Linked DNA regions of Arabidopsis thaliana. The protein of the gene in region 2 purifies or fractionates together with the protein of the main gene of each other region. This does not show direct contact. Each region holds a gene or a part of one and is shown on either strand. Other genes may lie near its edges.

The links.
Region 1: the proteins of SYP23 (region 2) and SGR4 fractionate together in Arabidopsis thaliana (co-fractionation; one study listed by BioGRID). This does not show direct contact.

The regions. Positions count from the first base shown.
Region 1 is NC_003076.8:15,818,195-15,826,658, forward strand, and holds SGR4 (Vesicle transport v-SNARE family protein), read left to right. Parts: upstream 1-3,098; 5' UTR 3,099-3,363; intron 3,364-3,813; 5' UTR 3,814-3,840; coding exon 3,841-3,934; intron 3,935-4,024; exon of another isoform or gene 4,025-4,243; intron 4,244-4,462; coding exon 4,463-4,521; intron 4,522-4,608; coding exon 4,609-4,797; intron 4,798-4,901; coding exon 4,902-5,072; intron 5,073-5,244; coding exon 5,245-5,397; 3' UTR 5,398-5,646; downstream 5,647-8,464. Other genes in the region: GNL1 (GNOM-like 1), read left to right, coding at 1-1,716; AT5G39520 (hypothetical protein (DUF1997)), read right to left, coding at 5,726-5,821, 5,918-6,115, 6,202-6,351, 6,890-6,976, 7,061-7,222; AT5G39530 (hypothetical protein (DUF1997)), read right to left, coding at 8,091-8,189, 8,276-8,464. UniProt on the Arabidopsis thaliana protein: Functions as a v-SNARE responsible for targeting AtELP-containing vesicles from the trans-Golgi network (TGN) to the prevacuolar compartment (PVC) and mediates liposome fusion. May be also involved in retrograde traffic to the cis-Golgi.
Region 2 is NC_003075.7:9,861,808-9,869,297, reverse strand, and holds SYP23 (syntaxin of plants 23), read right to left. Parts: upstream 4,196-7,490; 5' UTR 3,948-4,195; coding exon 3,748-3,947; intron 3,659-3,747; coding exon 3,565-3,658; intron 3,483-3,564; coding exon 3,343-3,482; intron 3,271-3,342; coding exon 3,196-3,270; intron 3,115-3,195; coding exon 2,957-3,114; intron 2,874-2,956; coding exon 2,774-2,873; intron 2,664-2,773; coding exon of another isoform or gene 2,663-2,663; exon of another isoform or gene 2,603-2,662; coding exon 2,581-2,602; 3' UTR 2,276-2,580; downstream 1-2,275. Other genes in the region: AT4G17740 (Peptidase S41 family protein), read left to right, coding at 1-52, 149-298, 377-459, 547-755, 865-933, 1,005-1,123, 1,215-1,290, 1,367-1,408 and 4 more; AT4G17720 (RNA-binding (RRM/RBD/RNP motifs) family protein), read left to right, coding at 4,800-4,805, 5,452-5,555, 5,647-5,722, 5,810-5,890, 5,964-6,638; AT4G17718 (Defensin-like (DEFL) family protein), read left to right, coding at 7,303-7,351, 7,446-7,490. UniProt on the Arabidopsis thaliana protein: May function in the docking or fusion of transport vesicles with the prevacuolar membrane.

The DNA.
Region 1 (8,464 bases), on a different chromosome or scaffold from region 2:
ACTGAAGCTGTTTTCTTGATTGCAAATAAATATGGTGACTATATTAGTGCGGGCTGGAAAAACATACTGGAATGTGTCTTGAGCCTCAACAAACTCCACATTTTACCAGATCATATAGCTAGTGATGCAGCGGATGACCCAGAGCTGTCAACTAGTAACTTGGAGCAAGAAAAACCTTCGGCAAATCCCGTGCCAGTCGTATCACAGTCACAACCCTCAGCGATGCCTCGAAAATCATCTAGTTTTATTGGTCGGTTTCTTCTGTCTTTTGATTCTGAGGAAACAAAGCCATTACCAAGCGAGGAAGAATTGGCAGCTTATAAACACGCTCGTGGGATAGTGAAAGATTGTCATATTGATAGCATATTCTCAGACAGCAAGTTTCTCCAAGCTGAGTCTCTGCAGCAGCTTGTTAACTCTCTTATAAGAGCATCCGGGAAAGATGAAGCTAGTTCGGTCTTTTGCCTGGAGCTTCTGATTGCGGTAACGCTGAACAACCGAGACAGAATCCTACTGATTTGGCCAACAGTTTATGAGCATATCTTGGGTATAGTTCAATTAACATTAACACCATGCACGCTTGTTGAAAAGGCTGTTTTTGGTGTACTGAAGATTTGCCAGAGATTATTACCATACAAGGAAAACCTAACAGATGAACTTCTGAAATCACTCCAACTGGTTCTCAAGCTGAAAGCAAAAGTGGCTGATGCATACTGTGAACGCATTGCACAAGAAGTTGTTCGTCTTGTAAAAGCAAACGCATCTCACGTTAGATCCCGTACTGGTTGGCGAACGATTATATCTCTGCTATCAATCACAGCTCGGCATCCAGAAGCTTCTGAAGCTGGATTCGAAGCCCTCCGGTTTATAATGTCAGAAGGAGCTCACTTGTTACCATCAAACTACGAGCTCTGTTTGGATGCAGCCAGTCACTTTGCTGAATCCCGAGTTGGTGAAGTCGATCGGTCTATCTCAGCAATTGACTTAATGTCAAACTCTGTGTTTTGTCTTGCAAGATGGTCTCAAGAGGCGAAAAACTCGATTGGTGAAACTGATGCTATGATGAAACTAAGTGAAGATATTGGAAAAATGTGGCTCAAACTTGTGAAGAACCTCAAAAAAGTATGTCTTGATCAACGCGACGAAGTGAGAAACCATGCAATCTCAATGCTGCAACGAGCTATAGCCGGTGCAGACGGGATCATGTTACCACAACCTCTATGGTTCCAATGCTTTGATTCCGCAGTCTTCATATTGCTAGACGATGTGCTCACTTTTTCGATCGAGAATTCAAGGAAGACTCTCAAGAAAACAGTGGAAGAAACGCTTGTTCTCGCCACAAAGCTCATGTCAAAAGCTTTTCTGCAATCTCTTCAAGACATCTCACAGCAACCATCATTCTGCAGACTTTGGGTTGGTGTCTTAAACCGTTTGGAAACGTACATGTCAACTGAATTCAGAGGAAAACGCAGCGAGAAAGTCAATGAACTCATCCCGGAACTGCTCAAGAACACATTACTGGTAATGAAGGCGACGGGAGTTTTATTACCAGGTGATGATATCGGAAGTGACAGTTTCTGGCAACTAACGTGGCTTCACGTTAATAAGATCTCTCCTTCTCTTCAATCTGAAGTTTTCCCTCAAGAGGAGCTTGATCAGTTTCAGAGACGAAACGCGAAGCCTGAGGATCCTCCGGTACCGGGAAATGAGGTCTGAGACGGTTTTGGTGGAATAGAGAAAATTTGTTCTATACAGATGAAAAAGCTTAATCAAGGATATCAATTTTTTTTTTGCAGTATAGCTTTTTTGTTTTTAATATAGGGGGATTATAATACTTTGGAGTCTTGAGCTTTTGTTTTTTTTATGGAATGTTATGTTGAAATTATGGGTTTGATTGGAAATATATTTGGAGGCAATTTGGAAACTGCTGCGTCTATTATACAAAGAACTTGAAAAATTCAATGGTACTGACAAAGAAAAATGGTACTCATCAAAACCAGAAAAGAAAAGTAAATTTTTGGTCCAAATCTCACTATTTTAATAACATTTTTTAAAAACAAAGAATTAAGAACAAAAACAAAATGACCTATAAAATTTTGGACTCTAATTCTTGGCTTGTGTGACTTTATTAACAGTTAAATATTACAAATTTTCAAACTCTTAAAAATTTAAACTTTATAAAACGTTTTAAATATTTATAATTTATAAACTTTATGAAGTTTTAAATATTATAAATATTTGTTATAATTTTGAATGTTATAAATTTATAAACGAAAAGAACTTGAAAAATTCAATGAAAACGAGTAACGACAAAGAAAAATGATAATCATCAAAACCAAATCTCAATATTTTAATAACATTTAAAGTTTTTAAAAAACCCAAAAAATTAACTAGTAGGCCTGGGCATAATACCCGGAACCGAATATCCGAACCGAAAAACCCGAAAAATAACCAAACCGAACCCGAATCCGATTTTTAGAATTACCCGAATGGGTCCTCGACCTTACTACCCGAAAAAACCCGAACCGAACCCGAACCGAATCTAATACCCGTGGGTACCCGAATACGAATGTAACTTAAATATATTAGTTATATATATATATTTGTAATACCTCAAATACCAAAATTAAAATTATAAATCCGATTATACTAGATTTTTTTAGTAATTCATATATATTTGGATATATTTGGGTAAAAGTAACAAATGTTATAGTTTTCTTTTAGATAATTTAAGTATTTTGGTTACATTTGGTTATATTTGTATAAAAAGTAACCAATATATTTACGGGTAATTGGGTATTTCGGGTTGATTTGGGTATATATGAATAAAAAAACCGAATCTAACCCGAACCCAAAAATATTTTGGGTATTTTTGGTTATTTTTACATTTTTACTAAAATAACCGAACCGACCCAAACCCGAACCGAAACCGAACCGAATTTTTAGAATACTCGAATGGTTCTCAACCTCCTACCCGAATAGACCCAATACCCGGAAAAAAAAACGAACCCGAACGGGTACCCGAATGCCCACGCCTCAATTAAGAACAGAAAAAGAAAAAAACTAACTTTCAGTGACCTATAAAAGTTTGGGCCCTAGAAGAGTCTTTTCGCAACACCAAAAATGGCAGATCCGCAAGCCCAACAAGGCAGTGGCATTGCCAAAAGATCTGGACAAAAAAAAGGCCAAGTGGTGTACAAAGCCTAGATGTAGGATATAATTACTCAACCGTCGAACATATTTTCCATAGATCATTCATAGACGTACGCATCATCAAATCAATTCATCGTCGTCTTCCACAATTGTCATCACCGATCGATTTTCCGACTCCGACGTACCTCCTCTTCCCCGTTACCTTCTCAGGTCTCAATCTGGCTTTCTCTATTTTTCGCCTAATTCCTCTTTTTCTGATTGTGATTCTGCTTTCTAATTTTGATCCTAATTTTTTGTGCTTATACTCCGGCTAAACTCTTCCATTTGTTCCGATCACCGGAATTTTCGTCACTTATTCGTCATCCTTTTTCTCTTTTGATCCGTCAATTTTACTTTTCTGTCTTTTTTTTTTCTCCTTTTTCCCCGTGTTGACATTTCTTTCTTCTGTACGTGATCTAGTTATCTTAGGGTTTTGGACTGCTATACAAAACAATCAATTGATTTTAGTTTTATCTTTTGAATCGTTGTAAGAATTTCAATAGCCTAGTCTTGTTGATGGTTTTGGGCTATTGAATCTGTTCTTAAAGTTTCAGCTTAATGTAATCTGTTCTTAATCAGAATTAGGGTTCATCATCATTGTGTGTGTTGCTGATTCTGCAGAGTTTTTAGTAGTCTTCCTTTGGAACAATGAGTGACGTGTTTGATGGATATGAGCGACAATACTGTGAGCTCTCGGCGAGTCTTTCAAAGAAGTGTTCCTCTGCTATTTCGCTTGATGGAGGTAAAATTGTTACTCTAATCTTTTCTAAGATGTGATACTTTTCCTACTCAGGCATTGCCTTACCTTCCTTAAGATTTGAAATAACTAATTCTGGTTTAGCTTATGAATGTAACAATGTACGAATTAGAGATATCTTGGTTTGTGTTTTTGATGCAGAGTATTGTGCGATTTAGATCCTTTAATTACTACTTCGTTGTAAGGACATAGTATTGGTTTCTGATTACGAAGAGAGCTTGTGATTAGTATTGGTCGCTGATCATCGCCATTTTTTTACACTGGGGATACTTCGGTTTTTGTTTGTTACTGAGAACGATTCTATAGATAGTTTGGTTTGTGTTTGATGACTATAAACTTCTTGTCTCCTTCATGTGTTGCTAGGACATAGTAGTGTGCCTTTCTTTTGCTTTCTTTGGAGATTGTGATTAGTAGTGTTCGCTGATCATCGGGATTGTTTTTTTTCCCCTAGATGAGTATGCTCTGTTGATTGCATAGATAAAAATGCATTGATGATACCTTATTAATTTGCAGAACAAAAGAAGCAGAAGTTGTCTGAAATAAAATCCGGGCTGGAAAATGCAGAAGTATTGGTATGTGATATGCGTAACGTGAAGTTATAGAAGCTTCTCTATTGTCCATTATTCATTTTGATGCTTCTCTGTCCTTTTCTTCACCAGATTAGGAAAATGGATCTCGAGGCAAGGACCCTTCCACCTAATCTTAAGTCCAGCCTCCTTGTCAAATTAAGAGAATTCAAGTCTGATCTGAACAATTTCAAAACTGAAGTGAAGAGAATCACATCTGGACAGTTGAACGCTGCTGCTCGTGATGAGTTGCTAGAAGCTGGTATGGCTGACACAAAGACGGTATGTAAAGGACTCGGTAGTATTGTTTCAATTTTATCTCATCTCATATCTTTGCTATTAAAACGACCTATGATTTTCTTTTTTTATTGAAACGCTGAGATCAGGCTTCAGCTGATCAGAGAGCAAGATTGATGATGTCAACTGAGCGTCTGGGCCGAACCACTGACAGAGTCAAGGACAGTCGTAGAACAATGATGGAGACTGAAGAAATCGGTGTTTCAATCCTCCAAGACTTGCACGGTCAGAGACAGTCTCTCTTACGTGCCCACGAAACGGTATTGTCTCTCTGCAACACATTTACTCCATATTCTCAACGATATTCTGAACAAAGTGACAAAATAAGATGAGAATTAAGGGCTATATCATAAAGAAGACTATGTTTTCTTGTTTTCTTTATCAACGCTGGATTGATATCGCGCTAACCAAAATTTAGAACTCTGTTGACAGCTTCATGGAGTAGACGATAACATTGGAAAGAGCAAGAAGATCTTGACAGACATGACGAGGAGGATGAACAAGAACAAATGGACCATTGGAGCCATCATCATCGCATTGATTGCCGCCATTTTCATCATCTTGTACTTCAAACTCACCAAGTAAGCCTCTGTAACTAAATCCGACCAAATCAAAGAACAACGGTTGTTTTCGTTTTGTGAGTCTTTGATTTATCCTGTTTCTTCTTTTTGTGTGAAAAGTTGTTTTGCCACCTTTGTATTCTAAATTTGACCATACATACTTTAAGCAAGTAAAGCTTCGGCCTAAGTGTCACGTATATTGTTTATATTGTTCATATCAAATCCAGAACTATACATGGTTAAACATTGAGATTAAAAGCCTCAATTATTTCAAACAATCGAGGTCTACATCTCGCACAATTGTTCATATATTGGATCTAGAACTATACATGATCAAACATTGATATCAATTACTAGTGTTTTTTTCTTTCATATTTGAATTTGCTATAATCAGCGACCAAGCTCTCAATAACCCTATGCTTCATGTTATCCACCAAACCGGCCAAAATCTGTAAAGGGCCAATCAAAAACATAAATCATGTATAAACCCGGAACACAGCATTTTGAGTCTCCAATCGCATATATGAAACAAGACAGTTTCTTACCGCATTGGCCATGTTTCTCCTAACATCTTCTGGTACAAGCGCGAGAACTGAAGGAAGCACGAAGCTAATGGTCGTTTCTAGTCGACCTTTGAGCCTCGTGTGCCTTCCACGCCGGTCTGGGTATAATGCTCCTTTTACTCCAAGAGTGAAATCAGTTGGTTCCATTACTCGGTCAAGCCCTTGAAGCTCCCATTTCGTCTGAAAATCGTAATTCAAATGTTAAATCAATAAAAATTCTGACTAGTGAATTTGTGATTCATGTGGTGGTACAAATATAATATTACCATGTTGAGCTCAAGAACTTTGGTTATGTGTAGAGGTACGTCTGATGGGTAATCCTGACCGTTGGATTTGCATCTAATCCGCATGACCACCACTGGACACGCAGTGAGGAAGAAAAATTTTATTGGTAACATTTGGATTCTCCATTCTTCCTGCACAATAATTTCATCCGTAAGTAACAAAGCCTCAAAAAATAAACATAGTTAAAAAACATGAGGTAAGGAAAATCAAAACATGCTACTAGCAATGATGTTACATTCCAATAATTCAATGGGGACCTCTTGACAACAAGAATAATATCAAAATCTTAAAGAGATTTTACTGGTTTGTGACTTTGTGTATCTTGTTTCATTTCTCTTATGGATATATGTAATTTTATATATAGGTTTCTAAGAACTTACTAGGACACAACTAAGATTTGTGTATTCTTTTGTAACTACGAAACAATAGAAATTTCTATAAATTTATTTTTAATCCTTAATTGAATACAATTGATACTATTGAGGATTATAAATCCTTAATTATTTTGTTATTTTCACTATCACCAAAATTTGAAAGTCGATGGTCGAAAAACTCAAAAAGATTTATCAATTTTTCGAATCACTAAAAATTAAATAATCAAATAGAATAAACACTTTTAATCACATGCCTTGGAGTAAAAGTAAGTAAAGGAGTCTTGAAGAATGGTACCTCATTAAGCCTATAGTTTTTGGGTTTATCCGGAAACATTGCTTCGAAAACCCTTGATTTGTCTTCCAAATATTCATCAAACAAGGCCTGCAAAGATCGGCAAGAGATTCGATATTAAAACATTCATGTGTGTACACATATACAGACCCTATTATAGAATGAGAAAGAGACCTGAGGAGACTCGTGGAGAGCGATATCGGTTGATATTTTAGAGGAATACTTGGCGGATTTTACAGGTGACAAGTGACACTTCACTCTCCACCGTTTTGATCTAACCTGCCCACAACTTCCGATCATCCCCGGGCATGAATACACCGCAGAGCTTACCGCCATTTCACCAAGATTGGATCTTTGATCTTTCCCACATATCTTTATCTCTCAATCTATCTATACTAAAAGATTGCGTCTTGGTTTCTCTCTATACGTTGAGACTTTTGTGGAAGATTGAGAAAGAGACAGTGAATAAAACCGTCACGGTAGAGATTTGGAATATTGGTTTATTTGGTCTTTTACGTCCACGTGGCGTAATTACAAGACGTTACATGTTATCAAAGTCTTGAAATCTATATTTGCTTACTCAGTCTTTTACGCATTCGGTCGTGGATGAGACTGACACAACATCATTCAAAGTTGAAAGGAACTAAAACCCTCACTTTCAGACAGAGGGTTGACAAAGCTTAGGCCTGATTTTTTCATCTCACTCAAATTTCACATCAATTTTTGTCTACATAGTCCAATCTGGTTTAACCATTTCGAGGCGAAAATGTACCTTCAGATTAAAAGTTCATACATCTGTTTTTACATAGAGCTTGGTTTAACTGATTTTCGAACTAAATCCGATAAAAGACCAAATAAACCCAATGCTTAAAAGTTTTAGTTAGGCCACTCTGGTTTTAAATTTGGTTTCACACTAGATCAAAGATTAGTGCAATTAACAAAATAATTTAAATTTCAAATTATTATATTTTTAACATAACACACAATACTAAACTAAGAAATTATAAGAATAATCAAAACAATATATAACTTTATTTTCAGCTAAACCAAAGAATTTGGAAAATTTGCGCCAACTGAAAAACTAAATGATTTCTTAACTTGACTATATCAATTAAATAACTTACAAGTAGCTTCTTACTGATATATGAACGGATTGAGAACTATACATGGTCAAACAGAGGCAACAAAGATAGAGTTTACTCGATTATCTTTGTAATTTTCTTTCATTCTTGAACCTGCTATAATCAGAAAGCAAGCTCCCATTAACCTTATGCTTCATATTCTCCACTAAACCGGTCAAAACCTGTAAAAGATTCAAATGAAAAAACACAGAGATCATGTACAATCATGGGATGTGGTAAATAGAGCTTTATGTAACAGTTTTCTAACCGCATTGGCCAAGTTTCTTCGAACATCTTCAGGTACCAACTCAAGAACCGGAGGAAGAACAAAGCTTATGTTCATCTCTAGTTGACCTCTGAGCCTTGTGTGCTTTCCTCTTCGGTCAGGGTACAATGCTCCTTTGACTTCCAAACTGAAATCAGCTGGTTCCATTACTCGGTCAAGCCCTTGAAGCTT
Region 2 (7,490 bases):
GTTCTGCTTGTCTCTTCCATTTCTGTTGTTACCACTGATTCACCACCATCATGTAAGTTCTGTTTTTTTTACATGTTGAGAAACCATATAAATTTCGGGGAATGCAATTTGATTTCATTTGTGTGGCTTTTTTTCTCTGTCTCTTTAGGGGGTCTTACTGAAGAGAATCTTCTCTTCCTCGAGGCTTGGAGAACAATTGATCGTGCTTATATTGATAAAACCTTTAATGGACAAAGCTGGTTTCGTTACAGAGAGACTGCTTTACGAAATGAGCCTATGAACACTCGAGAAGAGACATGTATGTGTGAATAGCTTTATTAACCTTTTACAAAATTAGTACAACTTGCTTCTAAATTTGGTGTTGGTTTGTGTTTAGACATGGCTATCAAGAAAATGGTGGCAACACTAGATGATCCTTTTACTCGATTCTTGGAGCCCGGAAAGTTCAAGAGTTTGCGGGTAAGATTTCCTGAAAATATACAGTTCTGAATTTAGCAAATAGACTGTATGTAAGATCTAGTAATTAAATGGTTTGGTTGAAGGCAGTCGGGGACTCAAGGGGCGGTTACGGGTGTTGGGCTGTCGATAGGTTACCCCACTGCATCAGATGGACCACCAGCTGGGCTTGTTGTTATATCAGCTGCTCCAGGAGGTCCTGCAAATAGGGCGGGGATATTACCTGGCGATGTTATTCAAGGAATTGATAATACAACCACAGAAACTCTTACCATATACGATGCTGCACAGATGTTGCAGTGAGTTACATTTCCATTTTTCATCATTCCTTAACTTTGAAAAATCTAAGTGTGACGAGTTAATGGTTCTGAAGTAAGAAATGATGATAATGCTTTGGTTGAAATGCAGGGGACCTGAAGGAAGTGCAGTGGAGCTAGCGATTCGCAGTGGACCTGAAACGAGACTCTTAACTTTGACGTATTTCTCTCATGCCTACATTTATCTTCGTTGTCACGTTCATTTGGTAACTACAATTGTTGTTATTTCAGGCGAGAGCGGGTTTCTGTGAATCCAGTGAAGTCAAGATTATGTGAACTTCCTGGTTCTGGGAGTAACTCCCCTAAGATTGGCTATATCAAGCTAACAACATTCAATCAAAATGCTTCTAGTATGTATTCTTTGGCATTACTGATTCCTTCTTACAAATTTATCTACTCTCTAGTTTATTATCTCTCAAAGTCTTAACACTTTTTTTGTAGGTGCGGTAAGGGAAGCTATTGAAACCTTGAGAGGCAACAATGTAAACGCATTCGTCTTGGACCTTCGAGACAATAGGTGATGATTTTTTGAGAACATAAACTCTTTTTTGCTTTTGCAACAGCCTTTCTTAAAAAAATTGTTCTTGCTGCAGTGGAGGTTCTTTCCCAGAAGGAATTGAGATTGCTAAATTTTGGTAATAACCTCATAAACCGTTACATATAACGAATTAGAAAATTTCAAGATCCACAGCTATCATAATAGAAACTTCAACATTTGCTATCCACAGGTTAGATAAAGGAGTGATTGTGTATATTTGCGATAGTCGAGGTGTTAGAGATATATATGATACTGATGGAAGCAATGCTATAGCAACCTCTGAGCCTCTTGCCGTTCTTGTATGAGCTTCCATCCTTCCTTTCCTCAAATCTAGTCCTTATTGTAATCTGTAAATGCCATGAAAGATTTCATTCTCACACAATCTTTCTCTTTTCCAGGTTAACAAAGGCACCGCGAGTGCCAGCGAGATATTAGCAGGTGCCTTGAAAGATAATAAACGTGCTCTGGTTTATGGAGAACCAACTTACGGAAAAGGGTAAACAAAATGGCGCTATTTTTTATTCTTCTTCTCAGAGACCGAACCGTAAAATTCCTGAGACTTTAACGCATTTTGCAGCAAGATACAGTCGGTTTTTGAGCTTTCTGATGGTTCGGGCTTGGCAGTAACAGTTGCTCGATATGAAACACCAGCTCACACAGATATAGACAAAGTATGAAACTACTTTCTTCCTGTAGTAACCCCCTCTGTGTCTACACTACACTACATACAAACATGTTCTTACAGTCTTGACTCGTTGCTGGTTGTTGTATAGGTCGGTGTAACTCCTGATCATCCATTGCCAAAGTCGTTTCCGAAAGATGAAGAGGCGTTCTGTGGATGCCTTAAGGATCCTACAGCTGCTTGTTATCTCAATCAAGGCCTACTTTTTTCTAGATGATTTTGTTTTGTTCAAACTTTGTTCTGACAACATATGACTAAAATTTATTGACTCAAGCTTTGTACTTTTGAAGATTCGCCATAGCTTTAGCTAATCGAAACCAGAAATTTCACATTTAAGAACACAAACAGAGGATTTTCCTTCAGAACCAAGTTATATTACAGAGACAAAGCAGTAACACTCTCTCCTTCAGAACCAAGACTCAGCAAACACAAGCCAAATCAAACCAAAGTGAACTACTCTATATACTCGATAACAAGAAACAAGAGACCAATAGTCCAACAGACTAAATTGTAGGAACAAAGAGAGTCGTGACAAACATATACTCATTGATGCTTCTTGATTGATGATGAAGCACTTGTCCATGCTTTTATGAGCTTGGGGAAATCAAACTGCGAGCACTATAATAACAATCATGAGCACGATACCAAAAATCACCAAGAGCAAGCACGTCTACAAGAAAAAGAAAAAACAATGGAAAGAAGAAGTTAGTAGGCTGATCTGATCATCCAAAATCCTCAAAAACACATTTCATGGTACGATCAAAAGCTTTAATATATTACCAGAGAAGAATTTGATCTTTGTGTCTTTGATGCCTTACGAGATGGGATTTTCCTTGGGCAGTTGCAGCGTAAGAGTTATCGATGTGAGTACCAATATCATCTACACAAAAATAGGTCTTACGTCTTAGGTTTTGAAGACATAAGTGAGAGTTTTAGCATAACAAGAGTTGGAATCAGTTTTACCTATCATGTTTCCTTGATCGTGCACCAACACTGCCAAGTCTTTGAAGATCTCGTGCACCTCGCCAATTTGCTGCTGAATTTCTTGTATCCCTTGCTCTCTTTCCTCAATAACAGCCTCATTGAACGCAATCTCATTGTCCAACAGTACAAGTTCTTGTCTGCAACAAAAAACAACAAACCAATCAATAGATAACTCATCAACCGAACAAAGATGGACACCATTGTCTGTATAAACTAACCTTTTTGATTCCACAAGAAGGGCACGCTGCTCTGGATGCTTATCTCCATTCACATCTATCTCACTGGATGTGTAGCTACATTACCAAAGCCAGGAAATCAATACACAAAACCACAAAAGTAAACATAAACCATCAATGAGCATTAACCTTGAGGGAAGAGATGGCTTGTGGACAAGAGGAGCATATACGGTTTCTCTTTCAGCAGCAAGACGCTGAGCCTTTTGAAACTCTTTCAACACAGCTTGAAAGTCCTTTGCAAGCTTAGCATCCACAATCTTCTTCTTTTGCTAACCAACCAATCAAATTCCTATTAATCAACAGAAGTAGCAGAAGAAGAACAAGAATCTTCCTTTATCATAAATGACTCACATTTACACCTCTTTGATGATCAGTTTCACTAGCTTCTTTAAGTTTAGCTGATGTATCTTTCACTAACTGTCCAATATATAATCTTGTCTTATGCCTAAAACAAGCAAATTGACTCAATTAGAAACAATTTCAAGTACCCTAAAACTCAAAAAGGAGATAACTTTAACTTTGAGAAGTACTTACAGCTTCTCTCTGAGCTCAGGCGTATCTTTAGGAGTACCAAGAGTATTGACAAGACGATGGAAAGTGGAAACACTTGTATTGATCTGAAATATACCAGAAGCAACATCTTGAGTCGTGTCTTGTCTACTACCACCACCATTGATGTTCCTTGAAGAAGCTAATGATCTTCCTCTTCCCGCCTCTAAATCTTGAAAACTCATTCTTTCTCTCTCTTTCTCGAAAACCCCGCCACTAAATTATCCTCTTTTATTCGCCCAAGAAAACAAAGCAACAACAAAATTCGATTTACAGTCGATAACGGAGATCGAGGGAAGAGAGGATGTGATGGTGATTTCAAGATTCCCCGGTGAGTTTCTCTCTCTCCGGACAGATTGAGAAAAAACGTGAACCGCGGAGAGAGAGATTGAGCAAAACGTGAAATGTCACATTACCTGTATGAACGGAAAAAGCTTGTACTTTTTTCATTTTTTGATCCTTAACTTTTCTATAATATTCCAAACGTGACTCTATAGTTTAGAATCTTAACGGTATATCCTCCTTTTATTATAAAGTGATAAATGGTCTACGATGATTACATTGCTCTGAGCTCAGGACACGTGGATGGTAGACATTGGTGGAGAAAGTGATTATGTCACGACGTTAATTGATTATTTTAACCAAGATACTAACAGATTACGGATTAATTAGAATTAGATTAAGGATTATGATAGATTAGTCCAGAATTTAATGAATAAAATCTCTAGATAGAACTTTACGTGACTAAAAAGGGTCAAAAGCAAAAGAAGTTTAAAATTAGGACTCTTTTTTAATCATCGCACGTGAGAAGGTTCCGACCATATCACGTGCCAAACCCGAATAAGACTCGTTTTTCCAAGGCGTTTAAAATCAGGTCCCACTTTTTTCTTTTATTTTTCACTCTTCTTCACATCAAATCCGCGACCAGAGATTTTTCTTTCCTTTGATTTTTCGTTTCGTTTCGTTTCAAATATTGTTCCTCCTGTGTGAAGGAAAAACAATCTTCCATTTCAATCCGCGTCAACGCGATTTTCTTCATGACGGTGAGCTTATCTAATCTCTTCGCTTTTTGAAACTAGTTAGTTTTGGTTTTTGTTTTGGATTTATCCTGAGAAAGGTCGATGTTTTTGCTGTTGATTTGATTGAGGAAGATGTGAACAGATCTGTTGATTTTGATTGTTGTTTTCTAATTTGTTTTGCGAGAAATGGCGTTGATTATTAGTGAAGAATCGCTAGTTTTTTTATTTTAGAGGATTTGAAGCTGTTCTCTGTTTTTGATTTGGGTGAAAATTACTGTTTCTGATATGAAGAAATTTTTTTTTAGGGTAAAATTGCTTTTGTTTGGATTAGGATATTCACTTTAGCATTTGTTTTGTTTTGTAATCTGTTAATATCTGATCTGTGCCATAGGATTAGTTTTGAGACAAGTATTTGCTTTTCCTAGATTCTGAGGTTCTTTTTATCTTCTTGTATTGATGATGCAATGTTTCTGTGTTTTCTGATCATTGTATTGATAATATTGGTTGCTTTAGGAGTGTGTGTGTGTGTGTTTAGTCATTGTTTTAGGCGATAAGGAATCGAGAAATGTGTAATCGAACAACTAATGAATAAGTCTGAGATTTTGTTTAGCTGGTGAAATGGTTTGAAATTTTAGTTTTTAAGTCACACGAGATTATATTTCACTTGCAGATGACAACAGTTAAAGTGAGCAATGTTTCTCTAGGAGCAACCGATAGAGATCTCAAGGAGTTCTTTTCCTTTTCTGGCGATATTCTGTACCTTGAGACGCAGAGGTTTGGTTTCCTCTCTATTGTTCCTTTTGAAAGTTTTAGATTACAGCTTTTAGTTCGTCAGGTTCTTAACTCTTTTGACATGTTTGTACAGCGAGACTGAGCGGACTAAACTGGCATATGTCACTTTTAAGGATCTACAAGGAGCTGAAACTGCGGTTCTTCTCTCGGTATTTTTACTTCTTAGCCTGTATTAGTTCCTCTATATGACTGTATCCTTTGAGTGACTGAGTATTAATGTAATTCTTTCATTTCAGGGAGCAACGATTGTTGATTCTTCAGTCATTGTCTCTATGGCTCCTGATTACCAACTGTCCCCTGAGGCTTTAGCTTCCTTGGTAAGCTCGTAATTCATCATCTCTTCTGAGTTTTTTCACAAGTTAAAATCTTACCATTTCATCTTTTTCACAGGAACCCAAGGACAGCAATAAATCTCCCAAGGCAGGTGACTCCGTGTTGAGAAAAGCCGAAGATGTTGTGAGCAGCATGCTTGCAAAGGGCTTTATCCTGGGAAAAGATGCCATAGCTAAAGCCAAAAGTGTTGACGAGAAGCACCAGCTAACATCTACAGCATCAGCCAAAGTCGCATCTTTTGACAAGAAAATTGGTTTCACTGATAAGATCAACACAGGCACGGTGGTAGTGGGAGAAAAGGTCAGGGAAGTTGATCAGAAGTACCAAGTCTCAGAGAAAACCAAATCAGCAATCGCTGCAGCGGAGCAGACAGTGAGCAATGCAGGTTCAGCTATAATGAAGAACCGGTATGTTCTCACAGGTGCCACGTGGGTTACTGGAGCATTCAACAAAGTTGCTAAAGCTGCAGAAGAAGTTGGACAAAAGGCTAAAGAGAAAGTTGGTATGGCTGAGGAAGAGGATAAGAGGAAAGTGGTTGATGAGTTTGCTAGAGTTCACTTGTCTGAATCACCAAAGGCAGCTTCATCAACGCAAGAAGCCGAACGTGAATCAAAACTCTCTGAATCTCCTGAAGCAAAGAAAGATTCTGAACATCTTGAGCCACAATCGAAACCATTGCAGCAACAATCTCCTCCACCTATGGCTTCAGCTCCTGCTCCGGCTCAACCTTGAGATATGCAATCAAAGACCTTTCTGATTCTTGTTGTAAACGGTAAAACTTGGAACTAATCTCTCTCAGATTGTTGAAGATGAAGATTGAACTTGTTATTTAGGACGAAGACTTGTGTTCTTGTAACATTGGATTCATGGTCGATTTGGTAATTAGACCTTAAAAAGAAAACAATTTTGTTCTTTTCGTTTTTCTTAAACTTATTTAAACCGGGCTAATCATCATGGTTAACTGAACCAAATACCGATCGATTTTTATTTTAAAATCAAAAATTTGATTAGAGCAATTAGCCCGTCAAGTGATTTTATGTAACTGAAAGTAACAAACCAAAGTAGATGTTACAAACACATTTGACAGGAAACGCTTTGTCGGTGATCTAAGAACTCTAATTATAAGAAGATTTTAAGCACTTTAAATTCAAAGAAGTATCAATTAAGAATAAATGTATATATTGACATTTGACAAAACTAAAGGAATAAAATCTCGACCAGTTAAACGCATTTATCAAAATATTTTGTTCTCAAGTGAAAAAAGAACAGATTTATTCATGGTATAAAAGGAAAAAGACAATTCGTTTTCTCACAATTATATATTGTTTGTAAACACATCATCTTAATTGTGCAAACAATATCAAAATTATACAAATAGAAAAGAGCACAGAAAAAAATGGAGAAGTCAGCTTTGATATTCATCGGTATTCTACTTTTTTCAACATGTGAGTTTCACAACTAAATTTATGTACCAATTGTATTCATCATCCTTATCATGTCATGAGCGTTTCTATAAATCATTTCGGTGATTTTTAGCAGGTACATCGATTATGGCACGAACTGGATATGTATCTTGCAAGACGA